3 linked regions of the Oryzias latipes genome follow. The protein of the gene in region 1 binds, or shares a complex with, the protein of each later gene. Links are inferred from orthologs where the notes say so. Each region holds a gene or a part of one and is shown on either strand. Other genes may lie near its edges.

The links.
Region 2: the proteins of bcl-2-like protein 1 (region 1) and tpt1 are in contact, whole or in part, in a crystal structure (PDB 4Z9V), measured with the Homo sapiens proteins. The link is inferred for Oryzias latipes from reciprocal best matches to the Homo sapiens genes BCL2L1 and TPT1. Residues at the interface, in NP_001304848.1 of Homo sapiens: Ala93, Glu96, Phe97, Arg100, Tyr101, Ala104, Phe105, Leu108, Gln111, Ser122, Gln125, Val126, Glu129, Leu130, Asp133, Asn136, Gly138, Arg139, Val141, Ala142, Phe146, Leu194, Tyr195, Ala199, Ala200, Ser203; in NP_003286.1 of Homo sapiens: Phe14, Asp16, Ile17, Lys19, Ile20, Arg21, Ile23, Ala24, Asp25, Gly26, Leu27, Cys28, Leu29.
Region 3: the proteins of bcl-2-like protein 1 (region 1) and bad are in contact, whole or in part, in a crystal structure (PDB 2BZW), measured with the Mus musculus proteins. The link is inferred for Oryzias latipes from reciprocal best matches to the Homo sapiens genes BCL2L1 and BAD. Residues at the interface, in NP_001276645.1 of Mus musculus: Ala93, Glu96, Phe97, Arg100, Tyr101, Arg103, Ala104, Phe105, Leu108, Gln111, Leu112, Gln121, Ser122, Gln125, Val126, Glu129, Leu130, Arg132, Asp133, Asn136, Trp137, Gly138, Arg139, Val141, Ala142, Phe146, Asp193, Leu194, Tyr195, Gly196; in NP_031548.1 of Mus musculus: Ala137, Leu141, Ala143, Ala144, Gln145, Tyr147, Gly148, Arg149, Leu151, Arg152, Met154, Ser155, Asp156, Glu157, Phe158, Glu159, Phe162, Lys163.

What each region holds. Positions count from the first base shown.
Region 1 is NC_019863.2:26,338,738-26,343,847, reverse strand, and holds the start of bcl-2-like protein 1, read right to left. Parts: upstream 3,192-5,110; 5' UTR 2,960-3,191; intron 2,381-2,959; 5' UTR 2,353-2,380; coding exon of another isoform or gene 2,322-2,352; 5' UTR 2,285-2,321; coding exon 1,772-2,284; intron 1-1,771. Other genes in the region: activity-dependent neuroprotector homeobox protein, read right to left, coding at 4,266-5,110. UniProt on the Homo sapiens protein: Potent inhibitor of cell death. Inhibits activation of caspases. Appears to regulate cell death by blocking the voltage-dependent anion channel (VDAC) by binding to it and preventing the release of the caspase activator, CYC1, from the mitochondrial membrane.
Region 2 is NC_019879.2:17,099,050-17,103,989, reverse strand, and holds tpt1 (translationally-controlled tumor protein), read left to right. Parts: upstream 1-1,592; 5' UTR 1,593-1,669; coding exon 1,670-1,697; intron 1,698-2,468; coding exon 2,469-2,536; intron 2,537-2,756; coding exon 2,757-2,941; intron 2,942-3,032; coding exon 3,033-3,138; intron 3,139-4,149; coding exon 4,150-4,266; intron 4,267-4,346; coding exon 4,347-4,349; 3' UTR 4,350-4,713; downstream 4,714-4,940. Other genes in the region: RANBP2-like and GRIP domain-containing protein 8, read left to right, coding at 1-212, 314-619. UniProt on the Homo sapiens protein: Involved in calcium binding and microtubule stabilization. Acts as a negative regulator of TSC22D1-mediated apoptosis, via interaction with and destabilization of TSC22D1 protein.
Region 3 is NC_019876.2:12,866,319-12,871,346, reverse strand, and holds the start of bad (bcl2-associated agonist of cell death), read right to left. Parts: upstream 3,475-5,028; 5' UTR 3,300-3,474; intron 2,972-3,299; 5' UTR 2,964-2,971; coding exon 2,816-2,963; intron 818-2,815; coding exon 603-817; intron 524-602; coding exon 392-523; 3' UTR 1-391. UniProt on the Homo sapiens protein: Promotes cell death. Successfully competes for the binding to Bcl-X(L), Bcl-2 and Bcl-W, thereby affecting the level of heterodimerization of these proteins with BAX. Can reverse the death repressor activity of Bcl-X(L), but not that of Bcl-2.

The sequences.
Region 1 (5,110 bases):
TTACATCTTTTAGAAAAACATCTGCAACTTCCTGCTTTTTCTGCCACAATTATCACAAAAATGCACGTCAGATTGCCGGGGGGGGGGGGGGGGGGGGGGGGGGCTGTAAATCAAAACAGACTATGAGTTTCTGCTTCTTTTTTTTTTTTGGGATGCTGGTGTGCCGCGGGATTTTTGTCAAGGTTAAAGTGTGCCGTGGCTCAAAAAAGGTTGAAAAACACTGAACTAGAGCAATCCATCAATGCTGAGGCATTATAGAGCTCAATGTGGCAGCACAGAATATGAAAATCCTCATGGGAGTCTTTGACATGTTCAAAAATAGTCTTTGTGTGTGTTTGCAATATTATTAATAAAAATTAAGCTTTAAACTAAAGATTTTTTTTTAACTTGCAGTTCCTAACAAGCAACGGATGAGGCCACGGTGAAGATGATCACGAAAGACTGTCAACCACTCATTGCTGTTGAAGATGAGGGATTCAAGGGTTATTGCACTTTCATACGAAGTCCTACCAAGAGAAATCATTTTGAAACAAAGACTACAAAAACTTTTGTTTCTTATTAAAATGTATGAATGAATCCATTTTTAGACTGTTATTCTGTGTGTAAAGTAAAAGATTAAAAAAAACGGCGAGCGGATGCATCAGAATGGAGCAGAGCAGGGAGCTTGTGACCTACTGATTGTAGTTTCTGTCACAACTACAGGCTTTTTTTGTCTTCTCCTGATTCACAACATTTTGAATAAAGAAATACTCAAAAATTGCAGTTTAAAAAAATATATATATATATATATATCCTCCATCATGAGAAAAATGTTACAAAAACATGTTGACATGATCCCATTTTAATTCAAGTGGGGCTTTAACAGTTTCAGAATTACTGCAGGGGTCACTATAGAGGAATCAACACTTTGTCAATACAGTGTTGAGAAATTAACACTCCTTTAGGCATCATCATCCCATCACTATATCACTGTAATTCCACTGCTATTTCCAAAGGATGTCTAAGCTTTGTTTTTATCATAAATGTTATAAATGCTTAGTAAATCTTTAATGGGCTCATATCAAGCAAATTCAACTTTTTGAGCTTTTAAGTTACTGTAATGTTAATTTCTCACACAAAAAATGAGTCGTCTCACTTCCAGGTAGAAAATAACTTGAAAATAATAAGAAATTCTTATTTTGTGTGCCAAAGGTAATATATGATCCTATATATGAAAATAGTTTACTCTAAAATGCTTCGACAAAGCGTAATATAGGCCCTTTAAACAGACTTGACAGGGAGTTTTCAAACACCATCCACTTCACTTTAAAAAAAAAAAAAAAAAACAATCTCCATGTAAATGTCTAAGATGTTGGTTTTTCCTCTTCAAAAAAAATAGATGGAAGAATGTTTTCTGCTGAACGTAAATCAGATTTGAAACTATAAAAAAACAGAAAACTGGGTTTCTGCCAAAATGCTTAACTTTTGACTTAAAGTGGCTTCTGGAGAATCAGGACTTAGGAAATTCTTTTACAGCTCCACAGTTCCAATAAGTAAATGTTGCTTTTTTTTAAAAGTTTTAAAGTTATATAAAGGATCAGAATGAAAGATGACTATAGAGATGCAGCAATTAACTAACTCTGTCAAAAAAACAAACAGGATAAAACAGAACTTTGAATGTCAAGAAAACTGAAGATATGGACTCAACAATGAAAACATAAACTTACAGACACCGTCCACTTGATCCTGGACCAACATTAAAAAATCATGACTATGTCAGGAAGAGACTCACCCATCCTCCATGACTGTGGATCCATGGACTTATTTGCTCATCCAGGTACTGGGTCATCCATTCAGCAATGCGGGAGACCAGCTCACCCATATTCCTCTCGACACACTCGACACACAGCGCACCACCAAAGACAAACAAACCCACAACGCGCCCCCAGTTGATCCCATCCTTGAACAGCTCATCCAACACCCTTTTGAAGTTTTGGTAGGCCGTGTCTGGAGTGATATGAAGCTGCACGGAGAGATCACTAAAACCTTGATGGAAACGACGTTCAAACTCATCGGCCGAATCTTTGAGAGTTGATTTGATGGCGTCCATGCTAGCACAACAGGGACAGGACCTCCTCAGCCGGCCGTCCTCACTGCTGACCAGCCTGCGATTCCGGGCATCGGAGTGGTCCTCTTCAGTTTCTCCCCCATCGTCTGTGGGCTTCAGCAGGGACACAGGATAGTCCCTGCATGACATCTTATAGGCTAAATAGAACCGGACCAGCTCTCTGTTACAGTGGGACATTGTGTGAGCTTGAACCTCCAGTGTGAAGCCAACCTACTCAGATGCCATGATTTCTTCCACTTAGTCATCTGTCACGTCAGAGATTCTTTATGCAACCTGCAAGCACACAGCAGGCAAAGTGACTTTATCCTTCTATGCAGCTTATGCATCAGGTTTAGAACAGGTTTTTAGAGAATCATCAGTTTAAACTGATGAATCATCAGTTAAAATCATCAGGTCTTTAGAGAATTTCCCCATTGTGAGATGATTAAGCTAAATAAAGTTTTATCTAATCTAAAACATATTTGACTTTGATGGCTAAACTTAATTATATGCTTTCACTTTCGCACTACTAAATAAATGTTTAAACAATCGGAACAAACTTAACAGCCAGGGTTAGCTAGTCTGCAAAACGTTAGAGCAAAAATGAAACGAAAACTATGATAGCAAGAAGTCACCCGCTTTACCTAACAATTCACATTTCAACCTTAGCTAAATAGATTAATCTTACGACGCGTATAGTATCAAACAAATGTCTCTACGTGTCAACTTTTTAACCCTTATTTTTATATACAAGCCTGTTAGCCTCGCGTGCTAAACTACCTGCTAAGGAAACACAACAACGGCGTAAGCGCGTCGAAAGCACAGCTATAGTGTTTGTTTGTTGTTGTTTTTGCTTTAATAAATCATACTTACAGCAGTTTTAGGATTTATTTTGTGTTGACTGAGCATTCTGATCAGGTAATATTTAAACAAGAGCCCAGAAATACATATATTTTTTGTAACAGTCTCTTACTTTGACACTAAAGTGACGTACACTGGAAGAGAGCCAATCGAATAACTGAATTAGACACAAGTCCCGCCCTCTTCTGCTTTCCACCAATCATCAAATCTGGATTTCCGACCTGGTTGCTCCTATTTTCTTCATTCAGTGTCGAGTGACAGTTGTAAACGGGAACAAACATGTGAGCAAAATCTTATTTTTAACGTGTTCTTGTAGCGTTTTTCTGATTATGGAGAGCATATATGAAGACATTTAAGTATAAAATTACATTCCCGGCAATATCTTTATGCAAATCGCTGTGAGTCAGGTGAAAAGAACTTTTCTTGTGACGTAGAAAATACGCTGGGCAGCCCAAAAACTATTTTCCCTGGGAGGGAAGGTGGGGTTGTAACTTGCAAATGCTCCTGCCGACTTCCTGAGGCAAAATTTTAATGAACTACTGCCACCGTGCAGAAACTGTCCCAAAAAGCAGATTTTTTTCAATTTTATTTTAGTGTATTAAAAAAAAAACATTATCATAATTACTGGGAATGCTTTGGAAATATCACTAAAGATGATCGGAGTGGGATTTTTAAATTTATCCAACATAAAACTACGTAAGCATAGCTTAACGCCGAAGTTCAGTTCATGGAGCCAATTCATCCTTGTAGGAACGCATACCATAAAATTCCAAGATTATAAGAAAAATGTAAAAACTGATCACTACTGCCTTATTACCCAACACAATCATTAAGCTGAGCTTAAGTGTTAAGAATTGTCCTTACCTACTTGATAAAAGCTAGTCAAATTTTGTTTAAACTAGATTTTCCTGAATAAAGATTCTTAATTAAAAACTTAAATTAGGAAATTATACTTTGGTAGAGACAGGGTACAACAAAAAAACTTTTAATAACACATCATATAATCATTTACATACACTTTTAACATATTTTACATTTTCTAAAAGTGAATAACCAAAATTCATCTTAGCTGAGTGGAAAAAAGTAAACAAGTAAAATATTACAAAGATGTGACAAAACCCAGTAAATACAAAATGCAAAGAAACTAACAATGACATAAGTATATACAAAACGACTAACATGATGTTTCATGAAATACGGTATTATGTAGCATAGTCCCTTAAATGAATGCGTTCAGAAAGGTAAGAGTTTCAATTTTGTTTTTATGGTGTCATTGGAGTTCTTGTTTTAAATGTAAACTCCACTAAAACTAACAGCTTTATGTTGAACACAAGCGGCTCACACCAGCATTTTCTTTATTTCCTTGCAAAGAACTTTCATTGTCATCGTCATGTCTCGCAATTTTTTTCTCACCTTGAATTGAGATCCAATTTGGTTTCTCATCTTGCAGTGAACTTTCATTTTCTTCCCCATTTTGCAGAGCGCTCTCCTTTTCTCCAGCGTTTTCTGTGACATCTTGGAGAGAGCTTTCCTCAATTTCTTCCTCGTCTTGCAGAGGGCTTTGGCTTTCTCTCTCATTTGGCTTTGAATTTCCACTGTCTTTCTCATCCTGCTGAGGACTTGGAATTTCCTTCTCATCCTGCTGAGGACTTGGAATTTCCTTCTCATCCTGCTGAGGACTTGGAATTTCCTTCTCATCTTGTGGAGGACTTGGAATTTCCTTCTCATCCTGCTGAGGACTTGGAATTTCCTTCTCATCCTGCTGAGGACTTGGAATTTCCTTCTCATCCTGAGGAGGACTTGGAATTACCTTTTCATCCTGAGTAGGACTTGGAATTTCCTTTTCATCCTGAGGAGGACTTGGAATTTCCTTTTCATCCTGAGGACTGGGAATTTCCTTTTCATCCTGTGGAGGACTTGAAATTTCCTTCTCACCCTGCGGAGGACATGGAAATTTTTTCTCATCCTGTAGAGGACTTGGAATTTCCCTCTCATCCTGCGGAGGACTTGGAGATTCCTTCTCATCCTGCGGAGGACTTGGAGATTCCTTCTCATCCTGCGGAGGACTTGGAGTTTCTTTCTCATCCTGCTGAGGACTTGGAGTTTCCTTCTCATCCTGCGGAGGACTTGGAGTTTCCTTCTCATCCTGTGGAGGACTTTGAA
Region 2 (4,940 bases), on another chromosome or scaffold:
CCAGAGTCCAGGAGCACTCTAGAGAGACCAACCCACAAGTGTTCCTCAAAGTAGCTGCTGATGACGAGCCGCTCGGCTCCATCACCATAGAGCTTTTCTCCCACATTGTTCCCAAGACTGCTGAGAACTTCAGAGCCCTCTGCACCGGCGAGAAAGGCTTTGGCCTTCAGAACTCCATCTTTCACAGGGTCGTACCAGATTTCATGTGTCAGGTACGGAGGCAGGGGGACTGATCTTGTTTTAGTAACATGAAGCTCTCTGTCCCTCAGAGCAGGATTTCAGCTTCTCCCACACTTTCCACTTTCTGTTTCAGGGTGGTGATATCACCAACAGCAACGGCACAGGGGGCAAGTCCATCTACGGGAGCTCGTTTGAGGACGAGAACTTTGACGTTCGCCACACAGGTCCAGGGATCCTGTCGATGGCAAATCGAGGACGCGACACCAACAATTCCCAGTTCTTTATAACGCTGAAAAAAGCAGAACACCTGGACTTCAAACACGTGGCGTTTGGCTGGGTTCGGGACGGCATGGATGTTGTTCAGCAGATGGGAGAGCTGGGCACAAAGCAAGGGGTTCCCTCTAAGAAGCTGGTTATCACAGAGTGTGGACAGCTGTAGCCTTTTGAAAGTCTAAGAGCAACATGGAACTCTCTTCAGGCTTTTGAAGAGCACAATCTTTCTCCCAAAGCACAATCTTTAGTCACATTTTTATTAAGAAGGTAAAGATTGGAAACTATTTTGCAGTGTAACCTCAAATGGGAAACAGTGAGGAGGAGAATTTTAGGGCAATGTTACCTTTGCTCCCTTTTGACATGTCATTTAAATATTGGTCAAGAGTTTATTTTTTTGTGTAAAATTGTACATGAACTTTTAAAGGTGTTTTTGTTTGGGTTTTTGTTATGTTTCTGCTCCGTTTGACTGTACTGGTTTTCTTCACTGCTAGTTGAATGTTTTGCGGTTTTTCAGGAAGCAGCTCTGTCACCACGTACACGTCTCCCATTTCAAATGCAGTCTCTGGTTACATTTTAAAGTGGGAAACCAACAACATTTTCTTTGAGCAACCGCCGAAGGTCATATTTACCCTCTGGAGGGTAACTAGATGTTTCTGCTTTACAAACTACCAAGATGTTTGATTATGTGTACAGAGTGAGATGACGTTCAATTCAGATACTGCTTGTACCAAAACAAATCTCAAAATTAATAAAGTTGCTTTACAAAATATTTAAGTGTTTGTTTTCAGTGTCAAATTATTGATTAAGCTTTCATTTAGCATTGGAAAAGCTCTTTATTACAATATGAAGGGGAGCTAAGATCATGATAAACCTAAAGGAACTAAAAAGGAAAACGTTGGTAAGGTATAGTTAACTGAATTATTTATCACAAGGAAATAAAGTGGGGAAATAATATATTCGATTATTAAAACTAGGAGATATAATCTATAATGATTCCGTAAAACATTTTTACGAAAAGACAAACATAATAGTGCATTACCACTTTTGGCCGCCACCTCCAAGTAGCAGCAAACTAAGTACGTGGCTGTCCGGAGTGACGTCAGCAGGATGTAAATACGGTGCCCAGGCGCATGCTCGGTCTTTTTCCTCTCCTGAGCTTTTTGGGGCGGTCGGCCTTGTCTCTGTCTCTGGAAGATCTACCACCGAAGCAGCCAAAATGATCATCTACAAGTGCGTCATCAGTGGTAAGTCGATGTAATTGAGTTTTGTGTCTTGAAGTTTGGTGATGTTACGGTCTAGAAAGCCTAGTTTGAGGCGTTACGCTGTTAGTGATGGGAAACTAGCTTTCGGTGGCTAGCTAGCTAACTCGTGTATCGTGTTCAGAAGTTAGCGATGCTAACGAAAACTATGGAGTGTTATCCGCCCCGCCGGTTAGCCGGCTTTTCCGAAACAGAGTTTTGGCCGCTTTTCAAAAATGTATACGAAATCTTTTCAGTCTGAGCCAACGCGTTTGTTTCGTACTAATAAATAATTATCGGGCCTCTGGATTTAACACTGCGGCCTGGCGTTTTAGAGTTGTGTGGGAGTTTTTGTCTATAGCTTTTCGGCTATATAGCTTCTAGTTCAGTTTGATTTGTGTGGCCAGAGTGTGTAGACTGGCAGTGCACGCATTTTAAATTGAGTTGGGTTCATGAAACTGTAAAGTTCTGGAAAATTACCAAGATTATATTAAGGGGTTTTGTTTCGCTTTGATTTTTAGTGTGTATTAGACTCAGGGTTTAAGCTATTCAAGGCACAAAGAAGATAGACTATTCGGCTTTAATCTGGGAGAGGCTTTTATTTAGAAATGCACAGGAAGTGCGGGTTTGAACATGTCGTACTAGTGATGGAGTGTGATTCCACTTAATTGAAACCATACAATAGGAAAGTTTTTCAGTAAGGTAGTGAAATGTGTAATAAATTTGGTTCTTTATTACCCCTCAAGAGTTGTGCTTACCAATGTTCTTTTGTTGTAGGGGATGAGATGTTCTCTGATATTTACAAAATAAAAGAAACGGAAATCTTCTACGAAGTTGAAGGAAAGGTGAGTGAGATGACACAATCATCACAGAAACTGCTATTCAGCTAAAAGGGTTGACCTATATTTTTAGTATCTTTCAACTCTTTCACTTCAACATAGTGTTTTTCCAAGTACCAGTAAATGAAACTTAAAAATTGTGAAAATGTTGTTGAGCTTCATCTTGTTACTACGCCCCTATGCCTTTTTGGGTTACATGTTCTCACCCTGTTTGTATTGATTTCAGACGGTCACCAGGACAGAGGGATTTGACGATGCCTTAATTGGAGCCAATGCATCTGCCGAGGAGGCGACTGAGACCAACGAGTCGAGCACAGTTTCCGGGGTGGACATTGTCCTCAACCACAACCTACAAGAGACGGGCTTTGATAAGAAGGGGTACTTGACTTACATTAAAGACTACATGAAGTCGTGAGTATCAGTCTTTATATATTTCAATCCCACAAAAAGACATTTACCAGTTTGGACAGCATCAAGAACATGGCCTTGCTTGTATGTTTAGTATTAAGGCAAAGCTGCAAGAGTCCAACCCTGACAGAGTGGAGAAATTCATGGCCGAGGCTCAAGTGGCAGTAAAGGGCGTTGTTGGAAACATCAAGAACTACCAGGTATTTACAAAGCTGTCTTCTGCAGACTCTTTTAATGGGCTCCATTCATTGTTTAGTGTTGGATGTACTTTCAGTGTGATGACAAAAACAAGGAAACAGCAGACAGTGATATACGTGACACTAAACATCTGGCTTGATTTCATTTAAGAACCAAATGAACGTCTTCGTTCTGCATTTTTCTGATGGACATATTTAAAGAAAATTTATATTAATTTGTTTATGTACAAAATCAAGTCGGGATACATCCTTTATCAGAAAATAAATGGTGACACCCAATTCTAAACAGTAGAAGACGTTTTTGTTTATGGCTATAAAAGATTTGCGCTAATGTTTTACAGATGAGCAGAAGTACACGCATCAGATTAAAACATAAATCTTTAGTGTGAAAAATCTCCTGCAGGGTAAATTTGAGATTTTAAAATGGGTTTCTTTGTATTTATTCATCAATGTGTTTTCTAGATTGTCTATTTGAATCACAGCTGAAGGTTAGTTACTAATTTAGTCTTTTTTTTAATCCTGTAAGGAGATATCCTTAATGTAAGGATATACAATGTAATGCAACTCTGGAAAATGCTGTTTACTCACAACGTCCCCCCCATAATACTATTTGATGGAATGACGGGGCCAAACCAAACTTCCCAAAGTTTCAATGGTATTTTGGACAGCTCATCACATTTGAACTCAGGTTCTAGTCCTCTGACCCGCTCAAAGAGCATATTTGGGACATAGAGGCTGGGAGATGCGATTCCTTTGCTGATTTATTCTAAATGACGCAATTTTTGATTTTATGGCCTTAAAGCGTTCATTTTTAGAATGAACCAATTGAGTTATGTAAATGGTGTTTTATTTTTCCAAATAAACTTGCATAGATTTGGACTGTCCTAAAACACAGTACAGTTTTATTTTTGGCTAAAATGGTATAATCATAATTAAAGCCACTGAAAACGCTTTAAAAACAGGGAAAAAAAAGATCATCGAAACTGGACTTAAAAATTCTCATTTGCTTCTCAGTTTTACACCGGCGAGTCCATGAACCCCGAGGGCACGGTGGGTCTGCTGGACTACCGTGAGGATGGTATCACACCATACATGCTCTTCTTCAAGGACGGCTTGGAGATTGAGAAATGCGTGAGTAGCTTTTAGTGTTTATTATACGTCATGGCTAAAAATGTTTTTTAAAAATCTAATTCTCACTGTTCTGTTTTCAGTAAAAATCTGCAATGAGAACTGCTGTTCAATTGCCTGCTGCTTCCCAAAAGGCCCCCCAGGAGCAGACCTAAGGAGCCCCCACTCTGTGCTCTTTTTGTCTGAATGGATACTTTTGTCCTCAGGTTCCACTTATGCTGAGCGGAATCAAACACGGTCACAGAATACAGTTTTTAAACTTTGTTTTTGGCTTTTGGGTGCTTTTTGTCTCCATGGAAACCAAGTGAATGATTGAAGCTCTGACTCTGGCCAAAAGTGTTTTTCCTTCATCTGCCTTCAGTTTTAGCAACAACAAACATCCCAGACCACATTGAGTTTGGGTTTATGGTTTCAAAATTCATCTATCAAATAAAGATAATGGAAAAAAAATATTACCAAGTTCTTCTTTACATTGGAGTGAGTGTGCTCAAGTTTGAATCGCAAACGACGCAGCTTTAGGTTGACAGATATTTGACTCGTGCAAACTAAAATGTAGGCGTAAGAAGAATCTAAAAATCTTCAGGAGCATTTCAAATGCTTATTCTGTTGCCAGAACTGTTCGCTCTGAGTTTAAAAGTTTGGAGCAAAACCGTAATGGTACAAAGTAATGGTTTGGT
Region 3 (5,028 bases), on another chromosome or scaffold:
AGATAAAAGACGCCCCCGTTCATCCGCAGGAGGAGGAGTTTTCACTTCTATCTCCTCTGACGGCCGGATGTCGGCGCCTTTTTTTTCTCCGCCTGCAGTAGATTGCTTATATTTGATGATAATTTCATTGTATACGCTGATGTGTCAAATGTCTAAATTCTCAGTCAAGTGGGCTTTTTTTTTTTTTAAAAAACATCACAGTCAAATACAAAGAAAGACAAAAATGTTTTAAAAGAAATGAGCGAGTTCAAAGATGGAGACCCGTTCAGCCCGGTCTTAGTGTTCCCATTCCTCTCGTATTTGAGTGGGTCGACCCCTCCTCTTGTGTAGATGCCCCCGTGGTTTCTGTCCTCCTCCGAGTCCTTCATCACAACAGTCTTCCTCTCCATCCTTACTCAGTGCGGTGGCTCTCGTGGTGGCTGTACTCTCCTTCCGCCTCCGGGTGGCTGAAGAGGTAGTTCCACCAGCTCGTGGAGTGGAGCATCTGTTTGGCCGCCCCAGTGCTCCTCACCTTCCTCATCTCCTGCACAAGGCAGATGTCACGTTCAAATCCGGGAAGCGACTCTCGTCTGCCGCCCCGCCCCCTCGCCACCCGCTCTTACCCCTTTATCCAGCAGGCTGTCAAACTCGTCGCTCATCCGTCGGAGCTGCTGACCGTACTTTTTGGCGGCCCACAGAGCCGGAGGGGCCGACTTGGATCTGCCCCTGAAGGCCAACCCATCAGTGGGGGTTCCGGCCTCGTCTTCCCGCGCGAGGTCCTCATCTCTGGAGTACGTGGAAGCGGTGGACTCTGAATTCAGCCTGGTACGCCCGTTACCTTTATGACAGGTAAGGACAAAATGTTAACGAACGTTGAAAAAGTACGGGTAACCTGGGAGACCTGAAGACAGAGGAAACACCCCTTCAAGGGTTCTGCTGTGTCTGAATTGCCACTTATGAGGGGAATCTACAATCCCAAAATGCATTGGGAGTTAGGCAGCAGTGAGGGAATTCGGCCTCATTTTCCCCTTTTTATGTTGCCTGTTAGTTTATAAAAAATGTAAAAAATAAAGTTTTGGTCAAATATAATGATGCTGCGCCATGAAACGTACGAGCTAAAAACATAAGGAAAATAACAATCAGACAAATAGTATCTGATGCCACGTTTGCCACGTCCCGTGAGGCTCCACTGATTCGTGCGCAAACACAGACAACCCGGTTCTGTTCCATTTTAAATCATTTCAAAAACTGTTAAATAGTGACTTTTTCTGCAGTTACTAGTCACTTTGTTGATTGTAGGCTACAGCTGCAGATGCTGACGGCTCCATCCTCAGAAGACTCCAACCAGAGGCCGTTGAACCCTTTAACGCCGCTGCTTTAGCTCTTTCGACGACCGTAATTCATTAAGCAGTCGCACAATTGACGTCACTTCAGCTGTTTCCGATGCATAGAAAAGCAGCCGTGCGAAACTTTACAGTAGTGAGCTGCTGATCGGTGCAAAGCTGCCTTTTTCTGCGTCAGAATCCGCAGTTTGAGCTGAATCGTGTGGACAGTCCAGAGAGTCTCACTGTCGACAGTTTCCATGCAGCAGCAGCTTCCAAAACAAAACAAGTCAAACTCTTTCTACTCAACTTGAGATTTAACGTTTTTGGGGTCGTGATCCCACTCTGTTACGCGGCTCATCTATCGCTGTCTCACTGTTTCGTGGATCTTTGTAGTGCAATTCAGTATGTGTATTGTTTTATACAGCACACTGCGTTCTGATTGGCTGTAGACCTTGTGGATCTCATTTGTGCCACAGTTACATCTTTGTTTTCATTCTATAATATTGGACTTATTTTCTACGAAGGCTTGAGATTTGAGAGTTAAAAAAAAGAGAGAAAAGTCTGGATATGAAAAGAATCAAACTTTATCGATATTTAGAATGTAACTCCATGATAAACAAGAAAACACTGTACTGACTGCACACAATCTCTGATTGTGTTCACATTTAGGTGAGACAGTGATTACCTTACCACTAGGAAAAGTTTTGTTCCCTTTTTGTTCTTCCAGCAGGTATTAGTTTCTCCTTCAGCGTCTATTTCTTTTTGTGTCATCTAAATGGCACTACAATTTAAACTGCATATTTATATTTCATAAATATAAAAAAAACAACAACAACGCTTTATTAAAGACAATGTTTATCCTTGAGAAAATTATCCATCCCCTATCAATGACAGCTTTTTCTATATGGGGTCCTAACAAAAACTGAAGTACAAGCCATTCACTGTATAGTGAGGAAATACCGTCCATCCAGCTCCAATGAAACAAAGTCAATGTCGTCGCCAAAATGTTGGCAATGCGTGGGACAATGTTAGTAAACTCTGATTGGTCTGAGTCAAAGTTTCTATGGAAACCACTCACCAATCAGGAGAGAGCTTGTTAAAGGTCTACAGCCCTATCATTTGGGAGAATCAGTCAGTGAAATGTTTGACATGAAACCACATGCTTTTATTGAGGCATCTGAAGGCTCAGATTATAACTGAAATAATTTGCACTATAGAAAAAAATATAATTATTAAAAAAAAGGATCATATAGAGTCAGCAATAGTTGATTATTTCGCAATAGAAGTCTATAAGACTTTGTCTTCTTGGAGCCAGCAGGGATTTCCTGTTTGGAACGTGAGGTGGGAGGGGTCGCTCAGTCCAGTTCTTGCATACAGTGACCCTATAAAACAGCTAACCGCTCCACCTCAGGATCCCAAAAAATCCGAATCCTGCTGCCTTAAGACTGGAATTTTCTCAAACAACTCTTAAAAGTGCTTCTCATTTCCCATAATGCTTTTGGTCTGCTTACTTGTGAGTCGAAGCTCTGGCAGGGTGAGGGAATGTCGATCATGAAGGTGCTCCCCTTCTCCTCCTGCTGCCGCTCCCAGGTCAAGTTTTCCTCCCTCTACCTCCTCGGATGACTCCGAATCGTCTGAGATGGTGAACTTTGCTGCCATCGTAACATCTGCAGAAAAAAAGGTGTTTTGAGGACACGTTGTTCCAATAATTCACTACCAGAGAAGCTTGATGATCATTTTAAACGAAGACCATCACAAATCAAATACTATTTTTCTTTCACATTTGAAGCCGAAATGAAATAGAAATTGAGCTAGGCCCAACTTTCCACTCCTAGAGTCATAAAATGTCTATTAGCTAAATGAATTATGTGTCTACCTGTAACACACCCAGCTGCCTATCAGTGGTTGAGTCCAAAGGTATTAAAAAAATAACAACTCCACGAGATAAGGACACAACTTTGACAGCACGCGCTTCGTTAAGATGTTATAACGTACTTTGTTTTTCGTAGTTCAACGCGCTCGCGAGCTGTGCTCTTCGTCGACACACTGCCTCGTTTGTTTTGTGTTGTTGTTGACCGAAGAGCAAGAGGACAAAAGAAACTTCATACAGGGCGGAAGCGGTCCCCTCCACCTTCCGCGCAGCTAAAGAGAACCTCCTGGAAGTAGTTTTTCTCACCCGAAATCTCTGCGGCGTCCGCTCCGGAGGTGGGAAAGAGTCTCCGAAGTTAGCTTCGAGCGGCAGAAACTGCTTGTTGTTAATGTTTTGGTGTTCTCTGCCCGCGGCACATTACACCCCTGCTCCGCTTTCGCCCAATCGCCGCGCGCCCCTGCACTTTCGCAGCGCGCTGACGTCACTGTTGCGAGCTAGGACTTGTTTGTCTGGTCTGGTTACCGTAATGACCAGAGAAGAAGCGCAGAACCAAAAAGCTCCTCATTTTCACCCCTCCCCCTTTTTTTCTGCCAAAACTCACGACGTCACAAGTTGAGTGCTGGCACTACTCGAGTCGCAGATTCTGTCTTCGGAGAGGAATAAAACAGGGGTGTACTGTCTCTGTATACCTGTTTCTTCTGGTTGCACACGTTTTCTGCAGATAAATAAAATTGAGAATATTGATGGGATTTCTATTGCTGGTAAAAACATTCTTGTAAGTCAACTGGCAGATGAATCATTATTCTTAAACTCCTCACAGGTTTCTTCAAGTTATAGAAACATTTTCAAAAGCATCAGGACCTATCTAAACCTAAAGAAATGTGAGTTATTTCCTCTTAAACAATGTGCTCTAACATCCATAAATAGTATAGTAGTCAAAGAAAAAGTCACATATTTGGGATTGCAGATAACTAAAGAACAAAAACAAAGAGAACTGAATAACTATAATCCTATGATTGCAAAAGCACAAAATAAGTTTAATCGCTGGCTACAAAAAGGTCACGTCCTCTTAGCAAAAGCAGAAGGAATTTCCAGACTAGTCTACATTGTTTCCTCACTATCTCTGGACAGTTGTTTCACTTTCGGCTTGTCCCATCAGGGGTCGCCACAGCGAATCAGCCACTTCACAGTGGAAGATTCGCATGGTAGTCTTGGCAATGTTTTACGCCGGATGCCCTTCCTGACGCAACCCTCTCAAAGCAACCGGGCTTGGGACAGGTACAGAAGTAGAGAAGGGAAGAGGGTAAAAATGCAAAAAGGATTGATCAGATACTTTTTAACTTCCTTTGGAGAAATAGAATCCACTATGTACGATAATCAGTAGTAATTAATTCATCAAAAGACGGAGGACTTGACTTTCTTAACTTTTCCATTCTAAGTAATGTCATCAAAATGAAATGGTTAAAAAAACTTCTTAAAAAGTGAAACCTCATTTTAGAATTTCATATAAAAATACATATTTGATAAGCTTGGAGGTCTGCCATTTATTTTATTATGTAATTTAATAATGGAAAAAAATCCTTTAAAACTGTCTAATTTTCATAAGCAGGTTTTATTGGCATAGACTTTGATCTACAAACATAATTTTTCTACTCAGCGCTACTATATTTGGAACAATGCAGATATTCTATACAAAAACAAGAGTATTTGTCTTGAAAATTAGTTTGAAAAGAACATTTCTCTTGTGACACAGCTGATTAATCCACAAGGTAACCTGATGTCATACATTGAGTTTCTGTCCACCAATAGTCTGCATGTTTCACCTGCAGAGTTTGCATTGGTTACTGGAGCCAT